Linked DNA regions of Nothobranchius furzeri. The main gene of each other region encodes a partner of the protein of the gene in region 2 in a complex. Links are inferred from orthologs where the notes say so. Each region holds a gene or a part of one and is shown on either strand. Other genes may lie near its edges.

Region 1 (10,214 bases), on a different chromosome or scaffold from region 2:
CTGGGCGATATGGCCTAAAATTAATATCACGATATTTTGAGGATTTCACCTCGATAACGATAAGTGGACGATAACTACAAGTATGCACAGAAAGAACAGTTGTCCACTAGATGGGGCTGTCACATGTATCATACTTTTTTACATGGTACAGCTTCTTAAAGGGATATGAACACTGCCAACCTACACACATCTTTTCATTTTTTTTATTATCAGATTTATAGACATGGGAAAAATTATCACGATAAGAGTCAGAAATTTAAATAATGATACATTTTCGATTTATTGCCCAGCCCTAGTATACGCTGCAGCAACCATTAGGTTTAGGTTCTCCGTCATCCTGGACATGATCATCCTGAGCTTTAATAAAAAAAAACACAGCTGGACTTTTCTGGTTATCTTGAAGACGCTTTTCTTGTCATCCTAGAGGCTTCTTCACTTTGGTTCTGAGCTATGGTCAGAAATAAACACACTGATTGTGCTAAGTCTTTCTTTAGTTTCCCTTTTGAAAACGTTTTAGTCTAAATTAAGGTGATGTTATTTCTCATAGGATTAAAATTCAAGTTCAGATTATTTGAAGCATCTGCTCCTAAAACGTATATATCGGCCTCAATAATCGGCTTTATATATCGGCAACAAAATTCTTTAAAAATCAGTATCGGCATCGGCCTAAAAAAAAACTATATCGGTCAGCCTCTAACCAAAAACAATTCTTTCAAAAACTCTAGAGAGATTTGCGAAATCTCCTTGTCAGCATGTGCTAATAGGGAGCTTAGGTCTCCTGCCTTTACGGTCGGCTCATGGGTCCCAGAAGAACAAAAAAAAGAATGCAAGTCAACGGGGCTAAAAGAGCTATTTTCAATACCACTTTGCCTTAGTCCCTGGATCACACATATGTTGTACTGCAACTTACATGAAAACTAATGATGGGTGTTTCAACCACATCTGTCGGGTACTTTGACATTTATCAGCTTGTAAAAGTTCGTAATTAGCTCGACTACATCGGCACGTCGCATATATGACGTCACCACAGAATCTCCTCTCCCCTAGCATAGCTGCCACACGGCCATATTTATGGTTCTTTCCTCCTGAAGGAAAGATTTGAAGTTTGCTGAACTTACAGGCATTTTCCTTCTGTTTTTCTCTGGGTCTGGCTCAATGAAGTGCAAGCACATTTGTAGTCCTGGACTTCTTTTCACACAAAATCTAAAATAACATGTATAAAGGGACTTGACTTTTGAATTTTTATGCTCGCGATTGCCCCCTCAGGCCAAAAGCGTAACAGCAGCTTCAATAGTAGGCTTGTGCACGAGGCGCGCATGCTGTACGTGCACACTCCTTAACGAAAATAACAGCTGAGACAGCCCTGTGTGTGTGTGTGTGGCCCGGAGGACAGGAGAACGCGCAGCTAATTAATTAAATAATTTGGTTCTGTACCTTTCTCTTCAGCACAGTCGACAAAGGTTTATGATGGGTCAGTCCTCCTGCATGCTCAGATCATTCCCTTCCCTTGCTTGAAAAATTGTTCCAAAATGAAAGTTGAACCCACATCTTTTTTATCTGTGAATTCAATGCCGTTCGGCGAGTCTCAAATAAAAATTTGGGCATCTTACTGTAAAAAATATACCATTAATGTAAAAAAGAAACTCTAAATAAACTATGTTCACATCCAGAATCAAACCCAGGTCTTCTGCATGGCAGTCAGACATTTTACAAGGTGAGCTACACTCTAGTAACATTCACAGTATCTGTAACTTTTATATCCTTGATGTCACCTAAAACAACATCAAACCAACGAACGGTTCGGAGCGAAAATGGCTATTTTGTTGCTAATTTGCAGGAAATATCTAGAAGGAAGTTCTACAGAAAGTAGCTAAGGGTCCTCAGAAATGTAGCTAGCTTTGTCACTAGGCGTTAGGAACAGCGACAAAGTCGCTGAGTTGGCACTGCCTCTCTCTCTGCTGCTAAAGCTACTGATAGCAAATGCTACGTGCTATGCCTGAGCGTGAACGCGCATGAAGCAGCCTGCTTGACCCGAGCATCTCTCTTTTTCTGTGATTTTACAGAAAAAGGCAATCACAGTAAAAATGCCAGGGCTCATTCTACAGGACCAGGGCATTGCTGGAGAATTTATGAAGAAAACATTTATTATTTCTATACATGTTTTGGCTGTCAAACTTCCATATAGTCCCTTTAAAAATAAGTGCTTTCTTGGTATCAAAATGTGTTTTTAAAATTGACAAACATCGTATGGGAAATCCATGGAACATAACAAGCAGAATTAGAAAATTGCGTTTTTAGCATCATTCATGGGCGTGACTTAGGCTCCCTGTTCACATAAAAAACTGGGGTCTCAGATTTTGCAACAAAAATGCTTAGAGTGTGACCTGTGTTTGCACTCACTTGTTTTTACAAGTTCAATTACAGCTCAAGTAGACTACAGGACAATATGACCATAAGAACGGTTATTGTCCACAACCGTTATTCAAAAGAATGCTTTTTGGCAAAGATGACAAAGATTTAAGTAACTACTGGGTTGGTGTGCCTATGAATGTTCTTTTCATTGCATTGAATTTTTTGCTAAAAACGAAGTGGTGTGAGCCAAGTTTATTTCCTAGACGGATGGGGGCGTGGGGGGGGGGGGGGGGGGATTTAGGGTTTAATAAAAAAGCCGGCTTCGTGTGTTCAGGGCCTAAGTGATCAAAGTGAGAGTCATCTGATAACAATTAAATATGAACAGATAGGGAATCTGATGTGTAGCTCACCTGTTTAACCTGGTCTGACTCAGACACCTGGGCTGCCATGTTTCACACTCTGGAGGAGAATCACACAGAATATTAGAATCTCTTTAAATGTCACCACTTTATGAAACAGATACACTTATGGACTACTCTTTCACATGAGTTTACATATATACATATACATATACACATATATATATATATATACATATATGTATGTATATATATATATATATATATATATATATATATATATACATACATATATTCATATACATATATATACACATATATACATACATATATATATATATATATATATATACACACACACACACACACACACACACACAGGCCACTTTATTGGGTACACCTTGCTAGTACTGGGTTGGACCCCCTTTTTTCCTTCAGAACTGCCTTAATCCTTTATGGCATAGATTTGACAAGGTACTGGAAACATTCCTTAGATTTTGGTCCATATGGACACAAAATTTGACCCATTCCCTGGGGGAGCAGTGAGCTGCAGACACAGCCGTGCTCAGGAACCATTTGGTGGTGTAACCCCCCAATCCAACCCCTTAATGCTGAGTGTCAAGCAGGGAGGCATTGGGTTCCATTTTTTCAAAGTCTTTGGTATGACCGGACCAGGAATCGAACCCTGATCTCCCAGTGTCAGGGCGGACACTCTGCCACTAGGCCACTGAGCTGGTCCTAAAGGAATGGACATGATCAGCAACAATACTCGGGTAGGTTGTGGCGTTGCAACAATGATCAATTAGAACTAAGGGGCCCAAAATGTGCCAAGAAAATGTCCCCCACACCATTACACCACCACCACCAGCCTGAACCGTTGATACAAGGCAGGATGGACCCATGCTTTCATGTTGTTAACTCCAAATTCTGACCCTACCATCCGAATGTTGCAGAAGAGATAAAGACTCATCAGACCAAGAAACATTTTTCCAATCTTCGGTTGTCCAATTTTGGTGAGCCTGTGTGAATTGTAGCCTCACTTCTTGTTCATAGCTGACAGGAGTGGCACCCGGTGTGGTCTTCTGCTGCTGCAGCCCATCTGCCTCAAGGTTTTACGTGTTGTGCATTCAGAGTTGCTCTTCTGCATATTTTGGTTGGAACGAGTGGTTATTTTAGTTACTGTTGCCTTTCTATCGGCTTGAACCGGTCTGGTCATTCTCCTCTGACCTCTGGCATCATCAAGGCATTTTTGCACAGAGAACTGGATGTTTTCCCTTTTTCAGACCATTCCCTGTAAACCAGGGGTGTCAAATATGCGGCCCACGGGCCGGATCCAGCCCGCAAGCGGGTTAAATCCGGCCCGCAAGATGGTTGTGTAAACTTTATTTTCATACTTTACAATGTAGAGTGAAAATAAACTTATCTTTGTGAGCAAGTTTTCTCTGTAGCGAGTATAAATAAAACAAAGCTGCGCTCAAGGCTCACACAAGAACTTGAATCACATCCTGAAGTTGGCCACCACTCAGGATGTGACTTCTGATATTGATGTTCTGGTGAAAGTTAAAAGATGTAAAGTAAAATGAGTCAAATATACTTTAAGTGCTGCATGAAACTGATCTAGCCATGTGATCTGTAAGCTCTGAACCACTAAGGAATGTTTTTTTATTTGTTGATTTTTTTTTTTTCAAATTTTCAAGTACACTTCAGGTGTCGTACTTGTACTATTTTGGATACACTGTCCTCAGGCTCCAGCCTTGTTTTGTATTGATTGTATTAAAACAAAGAAAACAATCTGAAGTTGTTTTTAATTTACCGGTCCGGCCCACTTGGGACTAGATTTCTCGCAATGTACCCCCTGAGCTAAAATGAGTTTGACACCCCTGCTGTAAACCCTAGAGATGGTTGTGTGTGACAAACCCAGAAGATGAGCTGTTTCAACTTCATGACAACCGTGCCACATTCAGAGTCACTTAAATCTCCTTTCTTCCCTGTTCTGAAGCTCGATTTGAACTGCAGCAGATCGTCTTGACCATGTCGACATGCCTAAATGCAGTGAGTTGCCACCATGTGATTGGCTGATAATAATTTGTGTTAATTAGCAGTGTACTCAATAAAGTGGCCAGTGAGTATATATATATATATATATATATATATATATATATATATATATATATATATATATATATATATATATATATAAAGTGGCCAGTGAGTATGTATATGAGAGAGAGATGTGGTTCTAATAAACGTAAAATAAAGGTTATATAAACCATTAGCTCAGCTATATTAGCGGAGCTTGTGGTAATAGAGTAGTTATAACCTCGTCCGGGTCTGCACGGTCTAGCGTGAACTAAAGCTGATGAAAAGTGATCACCCTTAAATTGGTGTTATGAGCCCTAATCCCACCAGCTACAGTTCGTTGATAATTTGTTTTTGATCAACAACGCGGATAAACCGGGATAAACCAAGGACGCATGTCAGACGTGTTTCCTGTCTCTAAGCTAAACACCCCCATATATTTATTTGTAGGCCTCAGTCCAGGACACGCTCGTAACTTTGTATTTCTACACATTTAATGCGTAAGTCACGCTGGTGTGTTTAAACCTTACCTGCTGAGTGGGTGATATGCTACGGCTTCTCCACCGTGTGCAATGTCGAAACAACCCTGAACCATCGCCCTGAACAGAAAAAGATAACAGCAGCAGATTCGATACAACCTAAATTAATTAATTCATGCACAAATATGATTTTAACTCTTCGGTTGAGCAGGTAAATTTTATTTATTTATTTATTTTTGTTCCTGTTTTTATACTTACAATGCTCAGATCCTAAAGTGTACAATTTGAGACAAATTGTAACGAAAGTGTCGACTTAAATGTGTTAGGGTTGTTGAGGTAAACCATTTTCGCCCCCTAACGAGCTGGAGGGTACAATGCCAGATAAAAGGCATTAGGCAGGACAGCTGTACTCAGCCATTTGTTTTATTTATAAAAAGAAAATGGTATCTATCTATCTATCTATCTATCTATCTATCTATCTATCTATCTATCTATCTATCTATCTATCTATCTATCTATCTATCTAAGCAACTGAGAAAAACGAATATTTTAGCACAAAAGTAGCACGACACCGAAAAAAATCATAAATAATGCTTGGTTCTGGGTTTGATCTTGTTCTGCTAAATGCACCAGCACTTTGTTTACAGTTTTTCTCAGTTGCTTTGGTGCATTTCTCACAACAGAATTAAACTTTGCACAACAGTTAGTTCAACCTCCACAACATGTAGTCGTTTTGGCACAACCTAGTGGCAGTTTCATGTTCATGTTCATTCTTGGTAAAACACATTGTAGAGTATGTTTTGTAGAATTGCTAGTGTACTGCACGAAACTACAAAGTACTGTAAAGCAGTTTACAGTGCTGAACATAGAAGACCTGCTTTACCTGCACATACTGGTGACGGATCTCCTTCACCCTTTCACAGTTTCATTCGAATGCCACTTTATACAATTGCTTCATGCGGATTTCATTTTTTTTTTTGAGAACTCTGTCGATTGTTGAAATGGAAACAGATTCAATATTGCCAAATACCGTGTTATTCTCTAAGACAGTGCTTTGCATTTCTCTCAACTTTATTGCATTGTTTGCAATGACCATTGCACAAATGGCTTCATCTTGCTGTGGAGTAAAAAGGGGCCCTCTTCCACCTCCGCGAGGTTGTCTTTCAATCCTATGTGGTGCAGAGTAAAATTACAGTAAAATTGAAAATACAGTACAGTAACATGAGATATGTATGAGATGGGACAGTACAGTACAGTAAATTACTGTATGCATACCTGTTTTCCCTACGGAATGTTTGAATGACTGAACTGACAGTAGTTCTTCCAATATTGGGTTGCACCCTTCGACCAGCCTCCTCCATGGTGAGGCCGTGATTGACAACATGGCCCACAATTGTAGCCCTAATTTCATTAGGAATGTGCTTATATCTGCCTCTTCTCCCCCTTCCCCTTCCCCTTCCTCCCCGCATCCTCACCCCTCTTCCACGATGCTGACCTTCCATTTTGTGTCACAGAAGTGTAGAAATGGTACACACTAGCTCCTGCTCAGTTCACATATGCTTGCCAATGGAGGATTCACCTCCTCATGAGTGACAGCTGAAATTCACCTGTGATCAATTGTTCAATTTAGGAGACATTTCCAGGAAAAAATGATGAAGAAAGGTATAGAATTTGCTTGACAGATTACTAATATTTGACATTTGATAACTAGTTCAACAATTTTGTGTGTAATGACTCAAGTAATGAAAGTAAGACTATTAGTTTTATTGAGAGTGACTATTCAGCATCCATAAGTATAATTAATTTTGACTGACATGACATAAGCAAATGGAAATGTCAAAAAACAGCAGAGAAATGTATGAAAGCAACTGATTCATGTCCAAAATCATTTGCAGTTTGTTCAGAGAAAGGAGAAATTGCAACTATGACGTGCACAAATGACTAAATGTTGTGGAGGTTGAACTAATAGTTATGAGAATTTTAATTCTGATCTGAGAAACGCACCAAAGCGACTGAGAAAAACTGTAATATTTGACCGAAACTGTTCACAGCCTTGTGCAACTGGGTAAATAAAGTAAAACAAACATTTTACAGCAAACATAAACTCACTCAGACAGTAAACCTTACTGCAGTAGTTATGAAACAAAAAAAAAAACTGAACAGACACAGCTGCAAATCAATAATTGATATCTAGATGCTCCCGTCTGTCTGCCCACATATTTTCATCAACATCACAGGGAATGTCAGCTCTATCGATGCATCGGGGAAAGTAACTTCTGGAGTGTCGAATCCACCCTCTGCAGCACTCTGCTGTGATGTCATCACAAGCTGCATCCATGGCTGCTAGCAGGGTCATTTGGGCATGTGGATGCCTGTCATATACCTTCCACCTCCAGGAAGAGGAAAAACTCCTCAATTGGATTTAGGAATGGAGTGTAAGGAGGAAGAAACTCCATAAGCATCATGTCGTGTGCTGCAAACCACTGCCTGACTACAGCAGAGTGATAGAAGCTAGCATTATCCCAAACCACTACATACATTGTCCGATTGTCACCAGGACACACACCAATTTTCATTAGTATGAGATAAAGTTCACCTGAGAAATGTCATTTATGGAGATTTCCATGGAAATTCCTTAAAAATAGGGTTTTCAAAATGGGTGTACAGATTGTTCGACAAGATGTTCAACAGTTTTTAGTGCAATGACACAAGCAATGAAATGAAGACTATTAGTTGTAAGGACAATGACTATTCAGCCGGTACAAGTATAAATAATTGTGACATTCATGATAAAAGCAAGGAGACAGTGATGAATAGCAAGTCAAAAGTGACCATTCTTTAGATATTTGTACTTACTCAACTGCTTCATGTCCAAAGGCATTTGCCACAAAATGAACATGAAACCGCCACTAGGTTGTGCCACAACGACTACATGTTGTGGAGGTTGAACTAACTGTTGTGCAAAGTTTAATTCTGTTGTGAGAAATGCACCAAAGCAACTGAGGAAAACTGTAAGAAGCTTTATTTCTGGAATTTATTTATTATCATTGTCATTAAATTGAAGTTGGACAGATGACTTGAAAATTCAAAGTTAAGGACTTGGACTTCCACATCATTGACATTGGACTCGACTTGGTTGTGATTAACTTGGACTTGACTCGAGACTTGACTGGAAAGACTTGTGACTATATTTGTTGTTTTTGTTTCTGATGTTAATAAGGAATGTTCATTCTGTCATAGTGAAGGTGAAAGTATTGGACATTTTTTTGTTGAATGCTTTTGGTTGGATTTACAAGGGCTTCTTACCACTAAAATTGGTAAAGACATTACACTCACAAAAATTCATATATTATTTTGTTTCCATAGTTCTTTTTTATCTACAGAAGAAATATATGTTGAAAATGTGTTTATTATATTAGCCAAATACTATCTACATGAATCAAAATGGAGAATTATATCTCCGTCGTTTACTAACTTCAAAGAATCCGATCTGAATATTTATTTTGTTTTTATTGCTTATGGCAATGTAAACAATCAGAAATATTGGAAAACCTTAAATTCTCTTAAGACATTTCATTTTATTTTATAAGCAGATTTTATTGTGTGTTATTTTTTTAAATAATTTTATGATTGTGTTTTTCAATTTTCATTTGTTGATTTTACTCCATAATTCTTTTATTCGTTTTTGAACGTTCTGAGAGTTTACTTGTACAACGTTTGTTTGTTCAACAAAGTAAAAATAAATAAACAAATAAATAATAATAATAATAAAAATAAAAAATAGAATTATCATTCCAATAGGTGGCGGTAATGCGCCAAAATCTCGCTCAACTGCCTCAAATGAAGAAGGCGAAGAAGAAGAAGGCGGAAATATCAGTAGAAAAAAAAGGCAGAAGCAGAAAGTTCAAATAGTGGTTGGTGTTATACTTTAAACATTCGGAGTTTTTACCTGTATCTTGTTGGTTTAATATTACCTAATGGTTTTCCGTGACTCGACCTTTATAAGTTTGATTTTTAGCGCTGACTTTTTCTATCCTGCTTCTTATTTCAGTGAAAAGATGCTGAGACGAGAAGTTTGAGACGTAATTAGCCGCCGGGCAACAGATGACAGAATAAATATGAATAAAGCTGTCGGTCACATCCATGTTGTCAGCGATTTTTAGTCCGGATCACGCGTCCTACAGCCCGGATAGCCTGTGTACCGCACCAGTGGGATCCCCAGCTTGGTTGGATGGAGCGCCCTCCGCGTGGAGAAGCGGGTTCTCGGTCTGACAAACGTAAAGAGAATGTTCCAGAAGCGGCAGCGACCCCAAACAGCGGGGCCGGTTCTGACCGGGGTATGCACTTAAAATCCATCACTCAGTTTCCATGGTAACCAAACACCGTAAACGTGCTCAGATGCGATAGACACAAGATTCTTGTAAAAGTTGATCTTTTGACTTTATAGAACTTAAATTAAGATTTCATGAACATTTGATCCATGATGAACATTTGTATTTATTTACTTAAGCAGAAAAACGGGTTGTGATGAAAGGGCTGTCCTCAGGAGGGCGCTGGAGCTGCATCTGGACTAAAATACCACTGGGCACTTTTCTATCATCTGCAATAACAAGTGGATATCAAACCACGAAGAATGCAACACCCACCCAACCTTCTTAGACTCCAATGAGGAGCCACTCAGTGTTTTTAAAGGATCTGCAAACTTTCAGGGTTTTCATTCAGAAAACCCAAAACAAGCATCAATAACAAAGCCGGGTCCATGTGGGATTCAGGGATTACACTTCCTTTGATGCACCTGGAGATGGAAAATCATCAAACACAAACAAGACCGGGAGGAAAACCAGCACTTTTCCACTGTTAGTGGTTATGTTAAGCTTCTTGTCAAGTCAAAGAGCAGGAATATGGAGGCGATGATTTCTACGTGTGCAGGGTCCTTTCGAGGCAA
Region 2 (10,214 bases):
TGCAGTCAAAACTCCAGAAGATGGCAGTAATGCAGCTCTGCTGCTAAACAGCTCTTTAATACCAGGACCGTCAGCTTTAAAACAGGTGTTTATTATAAAATACTCACCCTGTCAGTATGTTTTTAAACTACTGAGTGTGACTTTTATGTTGTGGTTTATTAGATTAATGGTTAATAAGTTTTATTATAAGATTAAACTCAGACACATACAGGATTATTGATATTTCAGATAATTTCAACTACTGTGAATATTTCATTACAGTTTCATTCTGATCATGATTCGTTTCAGCCACAAACACTCCGAGGACGAGGACCTTCTGCAACATGCTACCTGATGGTGACCTGCAGTCGAGAGGACAATAGAAGCTCCAGGTGTTTGTGGAACGTCAGAGCTTGTGTGTGTGTGTGACAGAGTGTGTGTGTGTGAGTGGTAGGTGAGTCTGTAACAGTAACTGGTCTGGCTCAGGTCAGGATGTGAGAACGTGTCCATGAGTTGAACCTGCTCCACCGTCCCTAAGCTGGCCTCTCGGATCGCTGCGTAGAACTTCTTCTCCTCCCACGATGGTCCAGTCCAGAAACTGATATCGAAGCTGAGGTAAGGTAGCGGGACTCGTGTTGCCAATGACCGCAGTCACCAATTCTTGTCATGTATCTTGCCCATGTATGTCTGATCTCTGAATTGTGTGTACTGAAACTCAATTTCATTTCTCTGTATGTCTTGCACATGTGGTAGAAATGACAATAAATGACTTTGACTTTTGAAAGGCTCTGGGTGCAGAGAAAAAGGACAGAAGGGAGTCCCGGGAGGTGGGCCATGTGAACACTGTCTTATGAAACGTGGCTCGTGAGACCAAAGCAAACGCCAGTCAGGGAGTGAAAACAGGAGCACGGTGAGGAGGTCCAGGTTCAGAGAAACAGTGATGGTGACATGGCAACTATCAGCTACACTGCTTTGAAAAACCTCACCAACCATACCCAGTAGCTCTACTGTCAACTGCAGGCTTCTCTCCTCTGTTGCTACAGAGACTCTGTAGGGAGAAAGGAGTTTTTCCAGCCTACTTCTTAGTAATTTAATTGGCTCGGTGTCTGAAGGGAAAACACCTCTGAGGAGAAGCTGGTGGAAAGCAGGCAGGGCCCACAGGCTGATGGCTATGTTCCTGAACACTACACCACTAATGCCAAAGAATGAGCTGATGGCACCATTACAACCCTCATCGTTTTTATTCTTTTCCCCTTCAGACCTCACATCTCTCCCCCCACTCCCCCCTGAAGCTGTGCTTCTTTTCCAGCCAGAAACACGTTCAGCTGAGGGAGCAATGACGGACGCAGCACATATAGACCGCTTTCCACTTCAGGGTGAACATCACTAGAGCACGCCGGCCACAAGCTCTTCAATATGTTAGAACAAATCTGATTTTCGTTTATTTTTCTAGTTTTAACACATTTTTGTTCCAATTTTCCTCCTGGCTGTGATTTTTTATGGACTGACATATTTGCTGAACGGGGCACCGCATCTCCTGCAGGAACAGCATCAGCCATCCTCAGCATCACGTCGCTGTTTAAGTTAGTAGTTTGTTAAATGCTGCAATCCCGCTCGGCCAAAATATATTGCATCTTTCTTTGACTCTGTTCTTTCACATATGTTTTGGGAAAAGTTTAGCAGTTTTGTTATTAAATTGGTGTTTCTCTTACTGCCTAAATGTTTTTGGGTTTGGGCCGGTGTGGATGGCATCACCGTCACAAACGCAGAACAACTGAAGTACAGAAGATGGATTAAGGATATGATAGCGACACGGAGACGTGGACCCATGACAACAAACAGGGAAGGAGTTTTTACACTGGACATGGTCATTGATGAGGATGTCGTAAGCGGCAGAGGGGGACATCGTCCCCTGCTGCCTGCAGATAAGGACGGAAGTTTTTTTTTTAGCCAAAATCATAAAACCTGCGCCATTTTCTAGTACTTAGTTTCAACATAGTGGCAGTAGCTCATTAAAGAGTTTGAGGTCTGCCCAGTGGCTTTGTGATGTAACAATGCCAGTAAATATTAGACTGAATTTTTTGTCTGTTACTGAATCACAGTGATTTGAATGCAGAAATACTCAGAAATGCAATTATGAACTTAAATTTCTTTAGATATGTCCTGAAGCATAAGAAAAATGCACAATTTTCATTAGAGTGGGTCTTTAATATAAAAAAAATTCTGGTTTATTTCTGCTAAATTATACAGATGTTCTCCACTCAGAGCTGTAGCTGTCCAGGTGGAGGTTGTCATGGTGACTTGGAAGCACAATCTGATCCAGGCTGTTCAGCATCTGGAGATTATCCAAATAAAACAAAGACAAGGAGTCTTTACTTCAGTCCACCGTGAACAGCATCTCTTTCACAACACTCATTAATGTCTTCTATGTACATTTGGTCTCTCACAACAAGAGCCCTCGTGATTAAAGTCCTTGTCCTTAAAGCTGCCTTTTCAGCTTTCATCGTAGGTAATACTCGATGGCAGCAGAGAATGCAGCAAAGCCTCCACATCCAAGGACCCCAGCTTTCAGGCCAGCTGCAAAGAAATATGATCAAAAGATTTCACAATACTTTCAAATGAATACAGCAAGTTTCAGCATGAAATATCCCAAAAGCAGGCTACAAACCACGAAATCCTATGGCTCCTCCAGTTACACAACCACTGTATACTGCATTTTTCCAGTCGGATTTGCCTCTGTGCTGCAAATAAAACACAAAACTGTTAGGTACTTGTGCTTTTGAGGCACAAAAAACCACTCAGAAACAGATGAGAGGCCCCAGTGGTCATTTGAACCAGCATGATGCCAGTTATGCTCCTTCAGTGACAGGCTGCTGCATCCTCAATGCAGAAAGGAGCGTTCTCGCAGGTCCTTCCTCCCAGCAGCTGTTGGACTTTATAACCAACACTGCTCCCAACAGCCTGCTTAAGTGTTTTTCTTGTTATTTGTCTGCTGTTATTTGCACACTGATCGAAGCAATAACCCCTTTTCAGGTTTTGCCTCCGTGACACAGAATCTGAGTCCAACATTGGATGATTGTACATTATTCCATCTCTAGTCTCATGCTGCTATTATAACATCTTATATAATACTTTTGTGTCATTACTACATCCTTGTTGTAAATAATTTACAATCTATCTATCTATCTATCTATCTATATATATATATATATATATATATATATATATATATATATATATATATATATATATATATATATTATTCAATTCAAATTCAAAAATACTTTATTAATCCCAGAGGGAAGTTAGAGTTTCAGTACACACAATTCTGACATCAGAATATGTGTGTGTGTGTGTGTGTGTGTGTGTGTGTGTGTGTGTGTGTGTGTGTGTGTGTGTGTGTGTGTGTGTGTGAGTGAGTGAGTGAGTGAGTGAGTGAGTATGTGTGTGTGTGTGTGTGTGTGTGTGTATCTGTTCTCTTCTTAACTTACTTGTAACTTTGCTCTTGGTGCACCAGAATTTCCCCAATGAGGGACAATAAAGGGCTTTATTATTATTATTATTATTATTATTATTAATAATTTGGTTTTTCACATATTCAACAGCAGAGGGCGCTGTAAGACCTGTGAATGATGTATTAGAAAACAGCAAAACAAACAAATCTCTTTTTATAAGGAAAAATAAATAAAATCTTACAACATAAAAGGTTTTTGGAAAGGTTGGGATGTGTATTATGCACATGTTTATTTAGTTTTATCAACCCACTAGTGTTCAGCCTCTGGAAAAGTTTTATAAACAAAGGTTTCCAGAGTTTCAGTAATATTTTTTGACATTTTGGTACATCATAAATGTTTTTTAACTGGTTTATCCCTTTGTCTTGAGCTCTTCACCATCCTTCCTTCAGACATAAGCAGCCTCAGCCAAGACAAGGTTGAGAAACATAGTATTCCCTGGGTTTTCCTCTGTACCACAATATGATTTTAAGTGTTTATTATGTGACTGAATGCCAATAAAATGAGTGTTAGTCTGAATAATGTCTGTGACTTACTGATTCAATGATGCACTCTGTACAGGAGAACATGGCACCAACGATGGCAAAGTTCTTGGCGTAAGACATCCCTCTCTGACCCATGTCTTTAAGGACTTCTCGAGCTGTTGGAGTTCTCAGAGGGTCTTTGGGGTCAAAGCCAACATTGGTATCGATCCCAGCTGTGAAAACACCAAATGCTCCACCGAGGACAAACCCTGGAAAGATAAAGCATCAGTATCCAGTTTAGAAAGTACAAACATTTACTGTCGTTAGGATAAATAACATACACAAATAGCACAGCTTTGAGCTAGGAGATAATTGGGTATCAATAAAAACCCAAATAAACAAGACTAATGTGGGAAATTGTGTAAAATCAACAATGCAAAACCTTAGCATACCACTCTGTGGTGATCCCTTAAATACCTTTAAGTACCTGGGTGTTCACCTGAACTGAACTGCTCCAACAACACCGATGCTCTGTATAAGAAGGGCCAAAACCGCCTCCACTTCCTGAGGAGGCTGAGGTCCTTTGGTGTTCATTCCCTTATCGCTCTATTGTTGGCTCTGTGATCCCCTCTGCTATGGTCTGTTGGGGTGCAGGCAGCTCTGATCGAGACAGGAAGAGACTTAACAAGCTAGCTTCGTTCTGGGTTGCTAACTAGATTCAACTAAGAAAATGTGTGAAAGGAGGATGCTGGCGAAGATGACCTCCATCTTGGAAAACCCTTCCCACCCACTGCATTCCACTGTGGAGGCCATGGACAGCTCCTGCAGTGAAAGGCTGAGACGTTCAAGATATAAAACAGAACGTTACCGGGGGTTGTTCGTCCCCTCTGCGGTAAGAGTGTATAACTCCACCGTTTAACTGGTACTGGCATTATCCTGTTACACAATAACATAAATGCAATATTCAGTATGTGTGAATGTGCAATACCTGATGTACATTATTATGTCTGTATCCCTTATGCTGCACAGTTCTGGAAACCCAGGTTTTCTTTTTATTCGTTGTTTTAAGTGGTTAAAGGTTACAATAATAGCTCGTTTCCTTTGTATGTTTACCTGTAACCTTATTATATATATTCTTCCTTTTCTCTAAGTGTATGTGCTGCTGAAAGTCTATTGTATTCCATTAGATAGATATTCATATCAAAACCAGCTGAGAGGTAAAGGTTTGAATATTTCTAATTCTAAAAATGGCTTCTATAGAAAAAAACTTCAAAAAAAGTTGTACAATATTGTGATCAGCTTAAACGTAAGAAAACTGTACGTTTGAGCTCGATTTTATGTGTAGTTGTTTACCTCCCACACAAGCCAGGATGGACTTGAAGGCGCAGCTCTCCATGCCCTTCTCTATCATCTTCTGCTCGTTGCTTTTCGGAGGCGTCGGCAGTCCCCCCATAACACCGGGGCTCAAGTCTTTAATTTGCCTTTTTTCACCTATAAGATGTTCCAGAACCATACTGTACTGAATTGTTGAACTATCCATTGTGGAATCGGCTGAAACTGGGCTGTTTGAGCCCAAAGAGGCAGCGTTAGTTCCACCAGTGGACGCGGCCATATTTCTCAATGGCACCGCTTTAGGTAAGTGTAGTCCAAAACCACGCGTCTGTTGATTCGTCACATTACTCCGCGAGCGGAAGTGATTATATTTCGTTTGAATCATGGTTTAAATGAATAAATATGTATCTAACACGTTTAGCAACACCAAAAGTAACATTTATGACTAGTACATCTTACTTAATGAAAAAGATATTTTTTTGCAAATCGTTAAATTAAAAACTGAGTCCACAAGTTTTATTTATTTATTTCTTTTAATTGTTACCACAAACATTAAATTTTAATTGGAAGATTCCGTTAAAATGTATATAAAGGTATACTGTTGACGTTTTCAATAATAACTTCATAAATGTCCATTTCTGTTATGTATGCAGTCTGTTCGCCAGGTCATGTTTGTAAATGAGAAGTAGTTCTCAAACAATTTACCTGAATAAATAAAGGTTAAATAAATAAAATAAAAACATAATAACACACAACACAATTTTAAACCAATAGTAATTTGGTGTAACCGTGCATCAACTACATGACTACATTTCCCACAATTCCATTCGAACTTTGGTGCAAAGCGCCCGCACGCGCGCAGCGCTCCACCTACTGGCTCCACAACAGGCAGATGGTGACACTTCAATGACTCGCCGAGTCGGCAGCAGCATCTTCACACAACATCAAGACTGCCGCATTAGCGAACAGGTGAGGTAGAGCTACCGGCTACAGACTCGTGTATTTCTATTATTTTACCACACTTCCTCTTTGTAGTTTGTTGACGTGAAGCACATTACTTTAATTTCAATGCTGCTTGTGTTGTCTCGATGGAGGAAGCGGCCGGAGTTGGTCGGGATGAGTTGATTTAGCCAAAGTGACTGTCGACAGCTTGCTTGTTTACGTCGTTAACGTTTCTACTTAATTAGTGGACTTCCTGGATAATTATGACGCAGACACGTCTCTGTTTTTACAGAAGCTTTCACTGAATTTGCCCAAGGACACAGTGCAGCTTTCACTAAAACAGAACATGTGATGTTCAGCAACAGAAAGTGTTTTAAATATGCACCTCCAGGGGATTATTTTCAATTTTACATGATTACAGATAATTATCATAATACTTGATGTTTGATCTAATCCAACCTAATCGATTCAAATTTAAGTTTCTTTATGTGCGAAGCCTAAGTGCCTCAAGGAAGTGGTTTTATTATTGCAAGATTCTGATAAAAGAGTGTAGAACTTCTTATATTTCTGCTGCGATATTTTTATGTTTATTTTAGAGTTCACAGTTTTATTATATAACATCGTTACCAGGTTAAAAGTTCACTAAAGATTTTAGTCAAATTAAAACTTTAAAATCTTTTAAGTTTTCTTTAAAAAGCTTTTATTCAGGCAGACTTCACTTTTAGATTTTAATAACTGATGAGATTAGATGTGCTGTGTTAGGTTTGATGTAAACCTGGTGTGTGCCATGTTCAGGCTGCCAATTCTTCCCAAGTAGAGCAGTTTCGTTGTGATGTGGCGAAACAAGGTGCTGTGGTTAGTGTGGCTAACATTTTATAGTTTCTGTCTTTAATAGGTCCTTAAATGCGTCATTAAGACAAGCTGTCCTGACTAAGCAACAAAAAGTGATTCTACTCCCGCCACGCAGCCTTCAGCGTTACCTGTCATTACATCAAACACTGATAGTGAATGTTACATATATTATTTGTGTGTTGGGGTTTGTTTGTTTGTTTTGATGCACTCAAATGTTGATTTCTGTCAAAGATGACCAGATTTACAACAAATGCAGTTTCAAATGATGATTTTGTGCATTAATAGGGAGAAAGGACCCTATGGGCCATTCCCATCTGTACCGGGTCGGCCCGGGCCGGGTAGCCCCAGTCGGCCCCAGCCTGGCCCGGTTGATTCCACACATCCTTGCCTTAAGCCCATGTGGGCTGATTCTACCCACCAATCAGAGGCTTGCTCTAATGGAAGGTGTGAATTTGCTGTCAGCAGTGGGTGTGTTGGCCCTGGTCGGCCTGAAGCAGACCCCCTCGAGAAGAGGGCTGAGAATGAGCCTTGGTTGGCCCGGAAAAATACCAGGCCACCCAGATATGTAAACAACCTACGCTACCCGGCCCGGGCCGACCCGGTACAGATGGGAATGGCCCACTAGACTCTAGAACTGATTTCCCCATCTTGGGAGCAACAACTGCAGTCAAGCGTTTGTGATCATTGGTCTTTCATAAAGGACATGTGGCTCATTTGTCTGTAGGATTGATTTAATGCAGACACATTAAGAGGTGGGGGTGGGGGGTCCTTTTCACATCTGTTTAAGATCAATGGCTACATTTTTTCCAAGTATTTACAGAAAGTGATCCAGGTCCTGAAGCAGCAAAGCAGCCTCAGACCATCACACTATACCGCCACCATGTTTGGCTGTTGGTATTAGGGCTGGAATATCCTTGAATTTAATCATGTGGTGTACGCGTGTTTATTGTGGCTGCCTTGTGTAATTAGCTTCTTTTTTTTAAGCGTAGATTGTGCAAGTCTTCTAAAATTAACGCAACGCGCTTGCAAGCTGCAATATGCGAGTAACTAGAAGGGGGAGTTGACAAAACAATTGAAACGTTATCTCTGGTTTAGAGGTCTTTAATACTGTCTACGATACCGCTGCGATTTTTTTTTCTGTCATGATTTTAAAATTAACCAATTACTGATCTCTTATGACTCCATGTTTGTTTTGGTTGTACACACTGGCTAAGTGGAGAGTACCTGGGTCCAGTTGTGTGATGTGGAATGGCATTTGGTGGTAGATAGAAAATTTCTGCTCTCCTCAATGAAAGGAATGTGTGTGTGACAGAATATCACTGTAACTGGAATTCAAGGTCCCATTCCAATATGGAGCCAGACTCTTAGAAATATCTGATGTCCTGAAAACAGCAGAGAGAGCAGAAGGAACTCCTTTACCTTCTTAGTGTTATCAGTGGATGAGCTGAATCAGGATGGGGTGAGGTAACCACATTTGGACTGATCCTGTGCATCTTTAGTCTGATTGGTCAAAAACACAATACTACTCTGATGAGTCGTCTTCTGTTTGTATCATAGTAATGACTTTCTGACCTAATTTAACACTTAAGTTGTCAGTCTGACTCATTCTGCATCAGGTGCCGCTTAAATCTCTCCTATTGAACAGGGGAAAATGCTCCTAAAGGAACCTGACTATGATGAATTGTTTGGCTGATTAGATGACCATTGACATGAGCTAAATTGATGTGTTGTTTAAAAAAATACTCAATTTGTTTTTGTTTTTTAAAACACTTATAATGGTTTAATTTACATGTTATTTAATGAGCCATAAGACATACGATTCCATAGTAAATATGAAATCAACCTTATGGATCTGTGGGTACTTTTTGACCCGAAGATTCGAACTTTTTATTGCAGGGATTATGTAACCACTTCGCATTAATTCAGAGACAACAGAGGAGAGAGTCAAGTTTTAAAAGTTTAAAGATTTATTACTAAACAAATTAAAACTAGACTTAACTTAAACACTAAATGTATGGTGTAACTAAGATGAATGAAACGGAGAATGGTGTAGTGTTGAATGTGTTCAGAACCAGCAAATCCGAAGAAACGATTAGTTCTGGTGGGAATGAAGGTGATGTCTTGAGCTAAGCTTTGATTAGGAGATTCATAAACACATTCAACGCCATTTTGTCACTCCACATACCCTTAGAATGATATATATATATATATATATATATATATATATATATATATATATATATATATATATATATATATATCTTTAGTTTTGTATATTTATATTTATTTATTATATATATATATATTTATGGTTATATAAATATAATTTTGAGGTTATTTACTGTTGCGCTATTGGCTACATATTTATATTTATTTTACCACAGTAACCCTGAAATTTATTTACTTTAACTTATCATTTAATTTAAGTAAAGTAATAATTTAAATTACCTAATCTAAATCTGATTTATTAAATACATTCATTTGTTTTATTTAATTGATTTATTATATTTTTTATTTAAATGTTTTTTTAAGTTATTTTATAAGTTTGTTATTTATTTTAAATATTTCAATTTCAATTTGAATGAAACATGAAATCTGTTGCAATGTGAAGGATACATTTAAAAAATACAGTTTAATGTGTTTAAATATTATCAAATATATTATAAATATATTTAAAAGCAGATGAATGTTCATCTCTGCAAAACAACTATTTGTGTTTATGCCAAAAATAAGTTTTCTTAAAATAAGAATTGCCTTTGAAGATCCATCCATCCATTTTCCTTTGCTTATCTGGGGGTCGGGTCATTGGGGGTAGTAAGAGGGCCAACTCCTCTGGGGGAATCCCAAGGTGTTCCCAGGCCACATAAGAAACAGTCCCTCCGTTGTGTCCTGGGTCTTCCTTTAAGTCTCCTCCTGTAATACCTCACCAGAGAGACGTCCAGGAAGCATCCTAAGCAGATGCCTGAGCCACCTCAATTGGGTCCTCTTGTTGTGGAGGAACAGCAGATCTACTCTGCGCCCCTCTCAGATGACTGATCTTCTCACCCTACCTCTAAGGGACACCCTGCAGAGAAAACTCATTTAAGCTGCTTGTATGCACAATCTCAATCTTGGGGCTTTGACGATATATTTT
Region 3 (10,214 bases), on a different chromosome or scaffold from region 2:
GGTAGGACCCCTGCAGCGAGGTGTGTTGGAGAGACTCTGTGGGACACCAGAACTCCAAACCCAGCTCCAAGCCAAACGGATCGTTACTGTAAAACTCCCCGATCTGAAACCACACACAGCAAACACAACAAGCTTAAACTCCAAACGCAAACAACAGAAAGGTTTCACTTCTTGCATCTTTGCTGCAGCTCCTTAAGTCTATCCTCAACACTTGCTAGATAAGACGACTGACCAGAACCATGAGATGATCTAAATCCTTCCGCAACGATGACGGGAGTTCACCGTCCATCTGTAGGGACATGTGCACCAGGCGGGCATCCTCGTCGGCTCGATTACGAAGCTGCTTCACCTGCAGTTTAAAGCGATTGTTAAAGCATGATTCAAACCTCCGTGATGACAACAATCTATGATGTCACTGTTGAAACCTCTAACCTTCACTGGCATGAGGGCCAGGAAGTCTGTGATGAGTGAATGGAGGCGGCGGATATAAAACTCTTCCTGGACAAAACCCTCACATCCCAACATTCCTTCCTTCATAAAGAGGAAGACGTCTCCTAGCAGAGCCTGATCAGCCAGAGACTCGTCTGCTTCGGTGAACTCAACGAGGCCTGCAGACACACACATTCAAATTAAACCCAAAACAAGCTCTGGGTGCAGGTGGACTGTATTTGCATAGCGCCTTCTAGGGTTCTGCAACCCCCCAAGGTGCTTCACAACACAATCAGTCATTCACCCGTTCACACGCTGGCGGGGATGAGCTACGATGTAGCCACAGCTGCCCTGGGGCGCACTGACAGAGGCGCCACCGGTCCCTCCGACCACCACCAGCAGGCAACGTGGGTTAAGTGTCTTGCCCAAGGACTAGGGCTGGACGATGTGGCCTAAAGTCAGTATCAGGATTTCACCTCGATAACGATGAATGGACGATGACTACAGGTATGCGCAGAAACTAAAGTTGTCCACAAGGTGGGGCTCAAGGCAACACAGCTTCTTAAAGGGACACGAATGCTGCCAGTCAACACACATCTTTTCATTTTTTTATTATCACATTTATTGACGTGGGAAAAATGATCACGAGTCACAATCTTTGATAACGATAATTTTTGGATTTACAGCCCAGCCCTACCGAGGACAACAGCAGAATTCTCTGGTCAGAGCCGACTTCGAACCCGACTACTGGACAAGCCGCTCTACCTCCTGAGCTACTGCTGTAAGAAGTATAAAACTTACCTGAGCCTTGTGGCAGCTGTGAAAGGACTCTCAGAGACAGAGCCCAAGCCAGTCGACACACAGCCTGCAGCCCTGGAAGCTTCCATGGTTGTCCGTCCATTAGACGAGTGTGCACCGCAGACACATACTGCCGCTCTGTGAGCAATGGCAGTGCCTGGAGAAGATCTGGAAGGGAAAAGGTCAAATCTGTCAATTTCTGTCAAAATATCCTGGCAAAACATCAGCAGGCATCTTCATAAGAACTCTAACTAAAGGACTTCAAGTATCTTCAACAAAATGAAGCATTTGACATGAACTCACCTTCTCGATCTTCAGTTCCCTGCTCTATAAAGCTGACGTCCAAGCAGTACAGCAGCGCCATAACTAGAGCCAGGCTCACACTGTCCAATGAACCATCAGCTTGAGCTGTAACTGTCTCCAAATGACCAATAAGAGCCAAGGTGTCATCTTTAGTCAAGGGTGACTGACAAGTCCAACAAAACAAGCTGTCTGCTAGTGCCTGTCGACATTCTCTGATCAAGTCAGAGACCTGGTGACAAAAGTGGGAAGAAAATTGCGTTTGGCATTATTTCCTCAAATAAGCTTCGACTTAAGATAAAATAAGATCAATTTAATACTTGCTCCTACCTCCTTCCTGTGCTTTTCATTGCCCAAACCACGCTCTTTCTGCAGACGTTCAAACTCCTGTGTCACATTTATTTCTGACACCAAGGCAAGGATGCGTTTTGTTAGTCCTCGACTCATCAACTCATCTGTAAAGCGTGTTGTCAAAGCCACCAGCTCGTCACTGAGCGAGGAGGCAAAAAACAGTACACAAGTTAAAGAAACATTTTTCCTTCTTGCTGACAAAACAATTCCATCAGATGGGCCTTTGAAAGAACCCATCACTTTGTAAAATTACCAATATTTAAAATTGTTACTTTAAATCCAGGGTGAAGGTCTTGCCATGCCGTGACTGAATGAGTGTGCGCAGAGAGTTGGCCACACAAAGCCTTCCATCCCAGTAGAGCAAGACAGCCACTAGGCCTCGTGTCAGGCCTGGAAAATGGGGCTGTTGTTGTTGACCTGGTGGAACAAAAAAGTACACTCTGTTAATTATTTCATGACTGCCTTCATCTTTCCTTCCAAATCACACACTTGATTAAAAAAATAATATTTAGTAACAGGTAATGTGACTGTTTCTGCATTTCTACCAAAATTATGCAGTCACAAATTTCCCTTCAAAAATGTAACTTATAAGCTGGTTTTTAAGAGATCACTCTACCTGCCAAGAGAAGCTCCAAAGCTGCTAACTCTCCAATGTCAAACAGATCACTGAGGATAAAGGCCTCCGTCAGGAGCGTCTCTGGAAGAAGACGTGAACCCTGATGTCCTTGAATGGCGATGCCTTCTGTGCTGGCCTTGCGTACTTTTTCCCTCTGCTCTGCACTCTTTGGCTAAAAATATTGGGAAAATCATGTGTTTGAAAAAGCTATGTCTCAATATAAATCTATACATTGGGTAACAACAACAAATGTAAAGGTTAAAAGAACATTTCTCAAACATTTAATTTGAATAACTTCAACAAGAGAGCTGTTATCTCACCACATTCTTAAAGAGTGACATAAAATGTGGTTTGTGTTTCTTCAGTTGCAGATCCAGAAGGTGGACAGTTTCTGGCTGTCTCTTCAGTATAGCTCCATCTACTGTCTCCCATAGCTCCTTCAGTGGCCCCCACAGACTGGCTCCTGAACGAATTAGTTTATAATATATGCAGGCAAAAAACATGGATTTCTGCGTGCAAGTTTCTTATAACCGTACTCGTTCGCAACATTAGACAGACAGACAGACAGATAGCCTAGCCTTGCAAAAGTGATGAAATTACTTTCACATAAAATGCGCAAAAAATCTACACGATGAGTTAACGCGCGCACTCACAATGGTAGCATATTAATGTGACCAACATCATTTATTTACTCCTCACTGACGAAAACAATCATCAACTTTTGTAGTTTCAGTTTTATTTCCAAGTAGTGGGCAAATACGTCAACTGAACCCGCTAACAATTGTAGGGACATATTTATATATGGTTGATATATATATATATAATTTCTAAATGTGCAATTCATATATTTTCGCGTATTTTGTTGTAGAAGTGAGGTCTGGTCAATGTGTCTACAACCAAAACAAGCTAATGCAACGTTTTTCAGCCATGAGTAAGGCTAGGCTAAAGTAGCCTAACAGCCCGTGTCATAACCTAAAAAGATCAACTGTGCAATTAAAACTACTAAATACCAATAAGCTACTCACAAGATTTAACACGTATGTCTTTATACGTGTGTTATGATTCAGGGTATATTGATAAAAAACGTCTCTCAGCATAAAAATGCTCAGAAATAAGAATTATTACCTGAATTTACCGCCATCGGCGCCGCCATGATCCACACAGACCGTTTTGGACAGCAGCTGTTAAGTTATTGCCGGTGTGAAATGCAAAAAATAATAAATACTTTATGAAAAGTTCCAAAATATATTTTCTCAGCTATTAAAAATAAACGTCAAATGTAAAATATAGTCACTTAATAAGTCATAGTAATTTCTTTAAAATGTGGTTTTAGTATAAAATTATCAGGCGAGGTCCTCGAAAGTTGAAGCTACCGGAAGTAAACTTTTCTTGCGTAGCCTGAAAAAATATTTGAGAAATAATTTAAATTTACTTAATGGTTGATTTTCTTTCTTCAAATAATATGATATGTTTATTTAGTTCAACACTAGATTTTTGCTAAAACATATTACCCATTACATTCTCCGTCAGAAAGGTCAGAAATAGTTCCGCCTTGTTTTGCTCCGTACTCTTTAAACGTAACACCACTATTTCCATGCAGCATTATTCTGTGACCGCTCTGGTAGAAATTTGTGATTTTCAGTTATTTGTTCCACTATAAATTCTGTACATTAATAAGACAGGGGTCTCTGAAGTGTTATGGCTCGGGTAGTAAAAGTGTTTCGGACTCTTCGAAATCACTGGAAAAAATCAACATTAGCTGTGTGCGTCCTTTCTTATGGTGGATATTGGCTGTATGGTAAACACTGGTGAGTTTATTAGATTTTTTTACTCGCATTAAGTTTGTTTGCCACTCAAAAATCTTGTACCTTGTATTTTAGTGAAAGCGTTGTGCGCAGAGAGGCTTGTCAAATTGCCAGGGTAAAGTATAACTTCATTTTTTATTGCCCTCAAAACAATTAGAATCAAAATAGCAGTTTACTTCATTTTAATTGTAATTCTAAGTATCATTACTTAGGAATTTGGACGTCAGCAAATAGCACCACACGAAGGTCTGAAAAAAGCAACAGTGATTTTGAATCCTGCAGCATCTAATGGGTAAAAACTTATAAAAGTCACATATCTGTATTATCAGCACAGTCTTTCCCAAAACAAACACTTTCCCTTTCCCCAAATGTTTTCAGGAAAGCCAACAGCTTGTTTGAAAAGAATGCTGCCCCCATTTTACACCTGGCTGGAGTGGAAATTACAGTAGTCAAGGTATAAATAAATGAACCATTGATCATAAGGATTGGCATAAACCGAGTGTTACACCAGTCTTTTTCCACAGACAGACTATGAAGGTCAAGCAAAGAAACTGTTGGAGCTCATGGAACTGACAGACATGTTGATCGTGGCTGGAGGAGATGGGACGTTACAGGAGGTCGTCACAGGTTTACTGCGAAGACCGGATCAAGCAAGTGTAGCATAATTCTGGTTATCTGTTATGTTGTGTTACACCTTTATTAAAAGCTATTATCAAGTAGAAAGTGCACAACAGGTTTATTTTTGACAACAGGAAACCTTCAGTAACACACCAATCGGATTCATTCCTCTGGGTTCTAATAATTCCTTAAGTCCAAGTCTTCATTTTCTCAGTGACGACAAAGTCAAGTAAGTAATACGAGTAAAAAAGCCTGAATAGCTGAGACAAGTATGTGATATCATGTATTTATGGCCTTTCGTTTGACGAATGGATTTCCTTGTGTGAGTTTTACATTGTGTTGAATATTCAGGAATATCACATCAGCCACACTGTCCATTCTGAAAGGAGAAACGGTTCCTCTGGATGTGCTACAAATCAAAGTAAGAGATGGTTTACACAGAATAGCATAACAATCATGTCTCCGATGCCGATTTCAGGGGTTCATTAACTATACAAGTGTACCGAAGTCATATGATGGATGTGTTGCATTTGTGTTTGTCTGCAGGGAGAGAAAGAGCAGCCCGTCTTTGCTCTGGTTGGATTGCGTTGGGGTGCTTTTAGAGATGTAGCTGCAAGAATTAGCAAGTAAATTCACCCAGATGGTGACAAAGATTGTGTATTTCATATTTGATGAGACCGTCTTACAGTTGTATTTGGCCCACACAGATATTGGTATCTTGGACCACTGAAGGCAAATGCAGCACACTGGCTTCACACTCTGAAGGTGAGAAAGATCCTGCAGGCTAATCTGCACAAAGGAATATAAACTTGATTTTGCAATGTCATCTCACTGGTGTAGCTTTTCTTTTAATGTACATGTGTAAAGTCAATGTTTTGGTTATTTTCTAAGGAAATATGTCAGTTTTTCAGTATTTTTCTGATCATCGGAGCACTGAATCACTATTTCACATATTGTAGATGAGCCTTAGATATTTTATGTTCCTGTAAATCATAAACTTGGGTAATTTTCATAAATATTGTCTAGGAGTGGCCTCTGGTCCGAGACGTGTCCATTTTCTATCTGGCTCCCACGCCGCGGCCCCCTGACCTGCCCTCTCAGAAGCCCGCCAGGCCGAACCTGCTTCGCCGCATCGTCTGCAGACTGAAGAACTACTGGAACCCGCCGGTTAAAGGTGAGTGTTTGTTACTATTCTGAAAGTCCAGCACTAGAACACAACAATCTTATTTTAATCTTTGTTTTTGGTCTTTTCTTTGCTCAGAACCTCCTAAAGTGGAAGAGCCAGAGAAGTGGGAAGAGCAGCAGCTGTCTACATTGGAGCTTTATATTCAAACCCACAACAAAAACCCAGTGGAGCGGGTCAGTGATCTTCAAAAGCCTTGCTGCTACATACTCTGTTTACCATCAGATCTCATCTTTGTCCATGTGTTTGTTTGTATTTGTAGCGCATAAACGACTCTCTGTTGATCTGCGCGGAGCCCAACAACTTCACCGTTGGCGAGTTCATCGCTGCAGGGTCACTAGCTCCTCTTTGATTATTCTTTTATGCTTCAGAGGCCTTAAAATCAGTTAAATGTTTGCTTTTACTTGCATTAAAGTTAGTGCTGTCTTTCTCCTAGGAGTAAGAAGCAAAAAGACCCAACTGTATTCACAGAAAACCACATGGAGCTGGAAGCAAGTGCTTGCCGGATAAAGCTGCCAGAGGTGAGGAATCCTTGTTGTAGTTTCAAAGTCAGCATGTGAGTTTTAGTGTGAAGGTGGATTTCTGTGTGATGCCTCTGCAGGGAGCCTCTGGCTTCTACAGTATTGATAATGAGGAGTATGAGGCCATGCCTGTAGAGATCAGTCTGTTGCCAAGGAAACTACGCTTCTTCATCAGCACCGAGCGCAGAGAGCAGCTCCGCACACAGCCGCAGCGACGACAGAAACAACCAGAAGATTAAAACAGCAGGATGAAAGAAATCATAATAAACTATTTAAATTTAAACTTTTTCTCCCTTTACGACTTTAAAATTACAAATGAAGGTAATAAGAGGAGTTTTTTTTAACTAGTATAAACAGTCTATTATGTTTCCGGATGCTTTATGCTATCAGACGACATGTGTACTAGTTTTCTTGGTGGCATCGTTGCGTTCTGCACGGTCAAGAGCAAACATGCAAACTCCCTCATTTACTTTGGATAAACATTTAGAGTCTTTTCAGCCAGTATCCCTGGATGACTTAGTTAAGTTGGTGGACGTAATTAAACCGAGTGGATCTCCTGAAGACATCACACCACCACGGCTGTTTAAGGAAGTCTTTCATGGAATAGCACCATTAATATTGAAAGTTATTAATAGCAGTTTGGCCTCTGGCTATGTCCCAATTGATTTTAAAAAGATGGTTATTAACCCACTGTTAAAGAGATCGGAGTTAGATGGTATGCAGCCTTGCAATTACCGGCCGATTGCAAAGCTCCCTCTTCTGAGTGAAATTCTGGAAAAAAGTGTCTATACTCAGTTAATGGATTTCCTAGAAGAGTCTAACATTAAGGAAACTTTTCAGTCTGACTTTAAAGCTTTTCATAGTATGGAAACGGCACTGATAAAGGTATTAAATGACATTATGTTGGAAACTGATAGGGGAAATCCTGTGCTACTTGTTTTGTTGGACCTTACAGCTGCGTTCGACACTGTGGACCACGAAGTGTTGCTCCATCGTTTGGAGTATAATGTCAGAATCTCTGGTCTGGCCTTAGACTGGTTCGGATCTTATTTGAAGGATAGGGCTGTAAGTGTAAGGATGGGTGGGTTTATTTCTGGATTCACACACATGCAGTGGGGGGGGTCCCACAGGGTTCAATATTAGGACCACTACTGTTTTTGATTTACATATTGCCACTGGGGGACATGAGGAAGTATGGAATTCGATTTCATATGTATGCTGACGATTGCCAACTTTACTTACCCTTGGATTATAGAAGCGACTGTGCCATTGTTACCTTAATGCACGGTCTAACTGAAGTAAAGTCATGGTTGACGGACAATTTTTATGTCTGAATGAAAGCAAAACTGAGGCGGTGCTGTTTGGGTTACATCGTGATTTAGAGCGATCAAAACTGGATTGTAGGGATATGAATGCCTACCTACGTTCTTCGGCAGTCAACTTAGGAGTGACATTAGATAACGCTTTCACCTTTGACGCACATGTGGGTGCGGTTGTATCGTCCTGTTTTTACCACTTGCGACGTCTGGCCAAAGTGAAGTCATTTTTAATTAGAAAGGACCTCGAAACTGTTGTGCATGCGTTTATCACCTCTTACTGTAACTCTGTCTTAATTGGGGTGAGACAGAGTACAGTAGCTCGTCTGCTGCTTGTGCAAAACGCCGCGGCAAGATTCCTAGAAGGGAAAAGGAAATATGATCATGGGACACCCATCCTGGTTACCGGTCGTTTTTAGAGTGCGTTTAAAAATTATTTTATTGGTTTTTAAGGCATTGAATGAGATGGCACCAGAATTTTTATGACTTGCTACAGCCATATATACCTAGTCGTTTGCTCCGCTCAGAGAGTCACCATATGCTTCTAGTCCCCGCAACTAGGCTCAAAACAATTCAAGTTTATTTATATAGCGCCAAATCACGACAAGTCGTCTCAAGGCACTTCACATAATAAATATTCCAATTCAGGTCAGTTCATTAAGCCAATCAGAAATAATGTTTCCTATATAAGGAACCCAGCAAATTGCATCGAGTCACTGACTAGTGTCAGTGACTCGATGCAATCCTCATACTAAGCAAGCATAAAGCGACGGTGGAGAGGAAAACTCCCTTTTAACAGTATTACGTCCCAGCTCTCTAGGAGAGATGAGGAGGGGAGTAATAAAATTAGTGTGTGGGTAAATAAACAGTGCTGTGTCGCTTAAAAAGAACAAGAATTTTAATACAAAATGAAGGGAGTGTTTACAAAGAACCTAAAGAACAATATTAAATACAAAAACAAAAGGAGCAATATTTAAAAAGGACAAACGAAAAGCACCAACCCAGAAGGGGATGGGGAGAAAACAACTGAGAATATCTGGGGAGATCCTAAATTCCGAGTCAAAAAGCCGTTCCGAAGTCTACAAGCCAAATTATCCAATACAATTTCCAATCCAATATCCAAAACCCTAACGAGAGTAACCAAAGACGAACGTGCGAACGAGTTTTACCAAATGAGCGAACCAAGAAGAAGAGAATAGTGCAAACTGTTTCCAGTCTACACTACCCTGGACCTTCTCAAAGAACTGATGGCTGACAGCAGCTTTTTAACAGCTGATAAGTGATCAGCCATGATCTGATCCAGCTGAGCACTAGGAGACGGACGAGGCAGAAGGCACTGAGGCCATCTTGTGGCTGAAAAGGGGCACGGCACGTAACAACAGGAAGAAACCTCCAGAGAATCCTGGCTCAGTATAAGCATCCATCCTCCACGACTCACTGGGATCGAGAAGACAGAGCAGGCAGACACACACACACACACACACACGTAATCTGTCTATAGTTATATTGTGATGTCTTAGTAAATATTCTATGTGGTGAGAGAGAAACTATTGCATTTATCCTAGTGAATCTATAATTAAATGGATAAACTAGTATTAGCACATCAAACGTCAAAGAGAGTAAAATGTTATTATCAGGAGAGGGAGAATGTTTAAGTGGTTAGCAGCAGTGTGTTAGACGATGGCCCCCTCCATGAGGCCACCACAGCTCAGCAGAACATCGTTGTAGCTTCTTCTGGGGAGAAAAACACTTAGAGAGAAAATAAAGTTAACAGCTGAAATAGCAGGAAATAATACAGTTAAAGAGCAGATTGTAGAAGAAAGCAGTAGAGTGTGGAAAGTGGTCAGTGTGTCCTCCAGCAGTCTAAGCCTATAGCAGCATAACTACAGAGATAACTCTGGATCATCTATCCTATTTAGATGGAGGCATGTTGGAGTCAGTTCAAGGGAGAGCCGTCTTTACCGACTGTACACTCCACCTCCCTCTACTCCCCCACTTGTCCTGATTTAGGCTAAAATCAGATTTTAACCTTAGACCCTATCAAATAAAAATGTTTTAAGCCTAGTCTTAAAAGTAGACAAAGTGTCTGCCTCACGGACTAAAGCTGGGAGCTGGTTCCACAGGAGAGGAGCCTGATAACTAAAAGATCTGCCTCCCATCCTAATTTTAGATATTCTGGGAACCACCAGTAGACCTGCAGTCTGAGAGCGAAGTGCTCGGTTAGGAACATATGGAACAATCAGATCACTGATGTATGATGGAGCTTGATTATTAAGA

The links.
Region 1: the proteins of timm22 (region 2) and timm9 are in contact, whole or in part, in a cryo-EM structure (PDB 7CGP), measured with the Homo sapiens proteins. The link is inferred for Nothobranchius furzeri from reciprocal best matches to the Homo sapiens genes TIMM22 and TIMM9. Residues at the interface, in NP_037469.2 of Homo sapiens: Asp35, Arg37, Gln38, Pro39, Arg40, Leu42, Gly45, Ser46, Leu47, Gly49, Ile50, Ser52, Pro53, Lys60; in NP_001291414.1 of Homo sapiens: Gln13, Glu16, Phe17, Thr20, Leu57, Thr60, Gln61, Met65, Phe67, His71, Gln74, Asn75, Leu78, Lys81.
Region 3: timm22 (region 2) and agk share a complex: the UniProt entries of both Homo sapiens proteins name them as parts of the TIM22 complex. The link is inferred for Nothobranchius furzeri from reciprocal best matches to the Homo sapiens genes TIMM22 and AGK.

What each region holds. Positions count from the first base shown.
Region 1 is NC_091758.1:18,276,421-18,286,634, forward strand, and holds the start of timm9 (mitochondrial import inner membrane translocase subunit Tim9), read right to left. Parts: upstream 5,462-10,214; 5' UTR 5,321-5,461; intron 2,812-5,320; 5' UTR 2,802-2,811; coding exon 2,763-2,801; intron 1-2,762. Other genes in the region: kiaa0586 (protein TALPID3), read left to right, coding at 9,501-9,606. UniProt on the Homo sapiens protein: Mitochondrial intermembrane chaperone that participates in the import and insertion of multi-pass transmembrane proteins into the mitochondrial inner membrane.
Region 2 is NC_091750.1:52,842,707-52,852,920, reverse strand, and holds timm22 (mitochondrial import inner membrane translocase subunit Tim22), read right to left. Parts: upstream 5,583-10,214; 5' UTR 5,568-5,582; coding exon 5,309-5,567; intron 4,225-5,308; coding exon 4,028-4,224; intron 2,721-4,027; coding exon 2,648-2,720; intron 2,557-2,647; coding exon 2,480-2,556; 3' UTR 2,167-2,479; downstream 1-2,166. UniProt on the Homo sapiens protein: Essential core component of the TIM22 complex, a complex that mediates the import and insertion of multi-pass transmembrane proteins into the mitochondrial inner membrane. In the TIM22 complex, it constitutes the voltage-activated and signal-gated channel.
Region 3 is NC_091744.1:88,191,182-88,201,395, reverse strand, and holds agk (acylglycerol kinase, mitochondrial), read left to right. Parts: upstream 1-3,689; 5' UTR 3,690-4,192; coding exon 4,193-4,302; intron 4,303-4,374; coding exon 4,375-4,414; intron 4,415-4,511; coding exon 4,512-4,591; intron 4,592-4,677; coding exon 4,678-4,753; intron 4,754-4,823; coding exon 4,824-4,949; intron 4,950-5,051; coding exon 5,052-5,146; intron 5,147-5,268; coding exon 5,269-5,338; intron 5,339-5,463; coding exon 5,464-5,543; intron 5,544-5,624; coding exon 5,625-5,682; intron 5,683-5,943; coding exon 5,944-6,091; intron 6,092-6,178; coding exon 6,179-6,276; intron 6,277-6,362; coding exon 6,363-6,433; intron 6,434-6,536; coding exon 6,537-6,621; intron 6,622-6,701; coding exon 6,702-6,860; 3' UTR 6,861-7,535; downstream 7,536-10,214. Other genes in the region: nuclear pore complex protein Nup205, read right to left, coding at 1-103, 233-349, 433-608, 1,231-1,395, 1,531-1,759, 1,858-2,017, 2,151-2,295, 2,495-2,666 and 1 more. UniProt on the Homo sapiens protein: Lipid kinase that can phosphorylate both monoacylglycerol and diacylglycerol to form lysophosphatidic acid (LPA) and phosphatidic acid (PA), respectively. Does not phosphorylate sphingosine. Phosphorylates ceramide.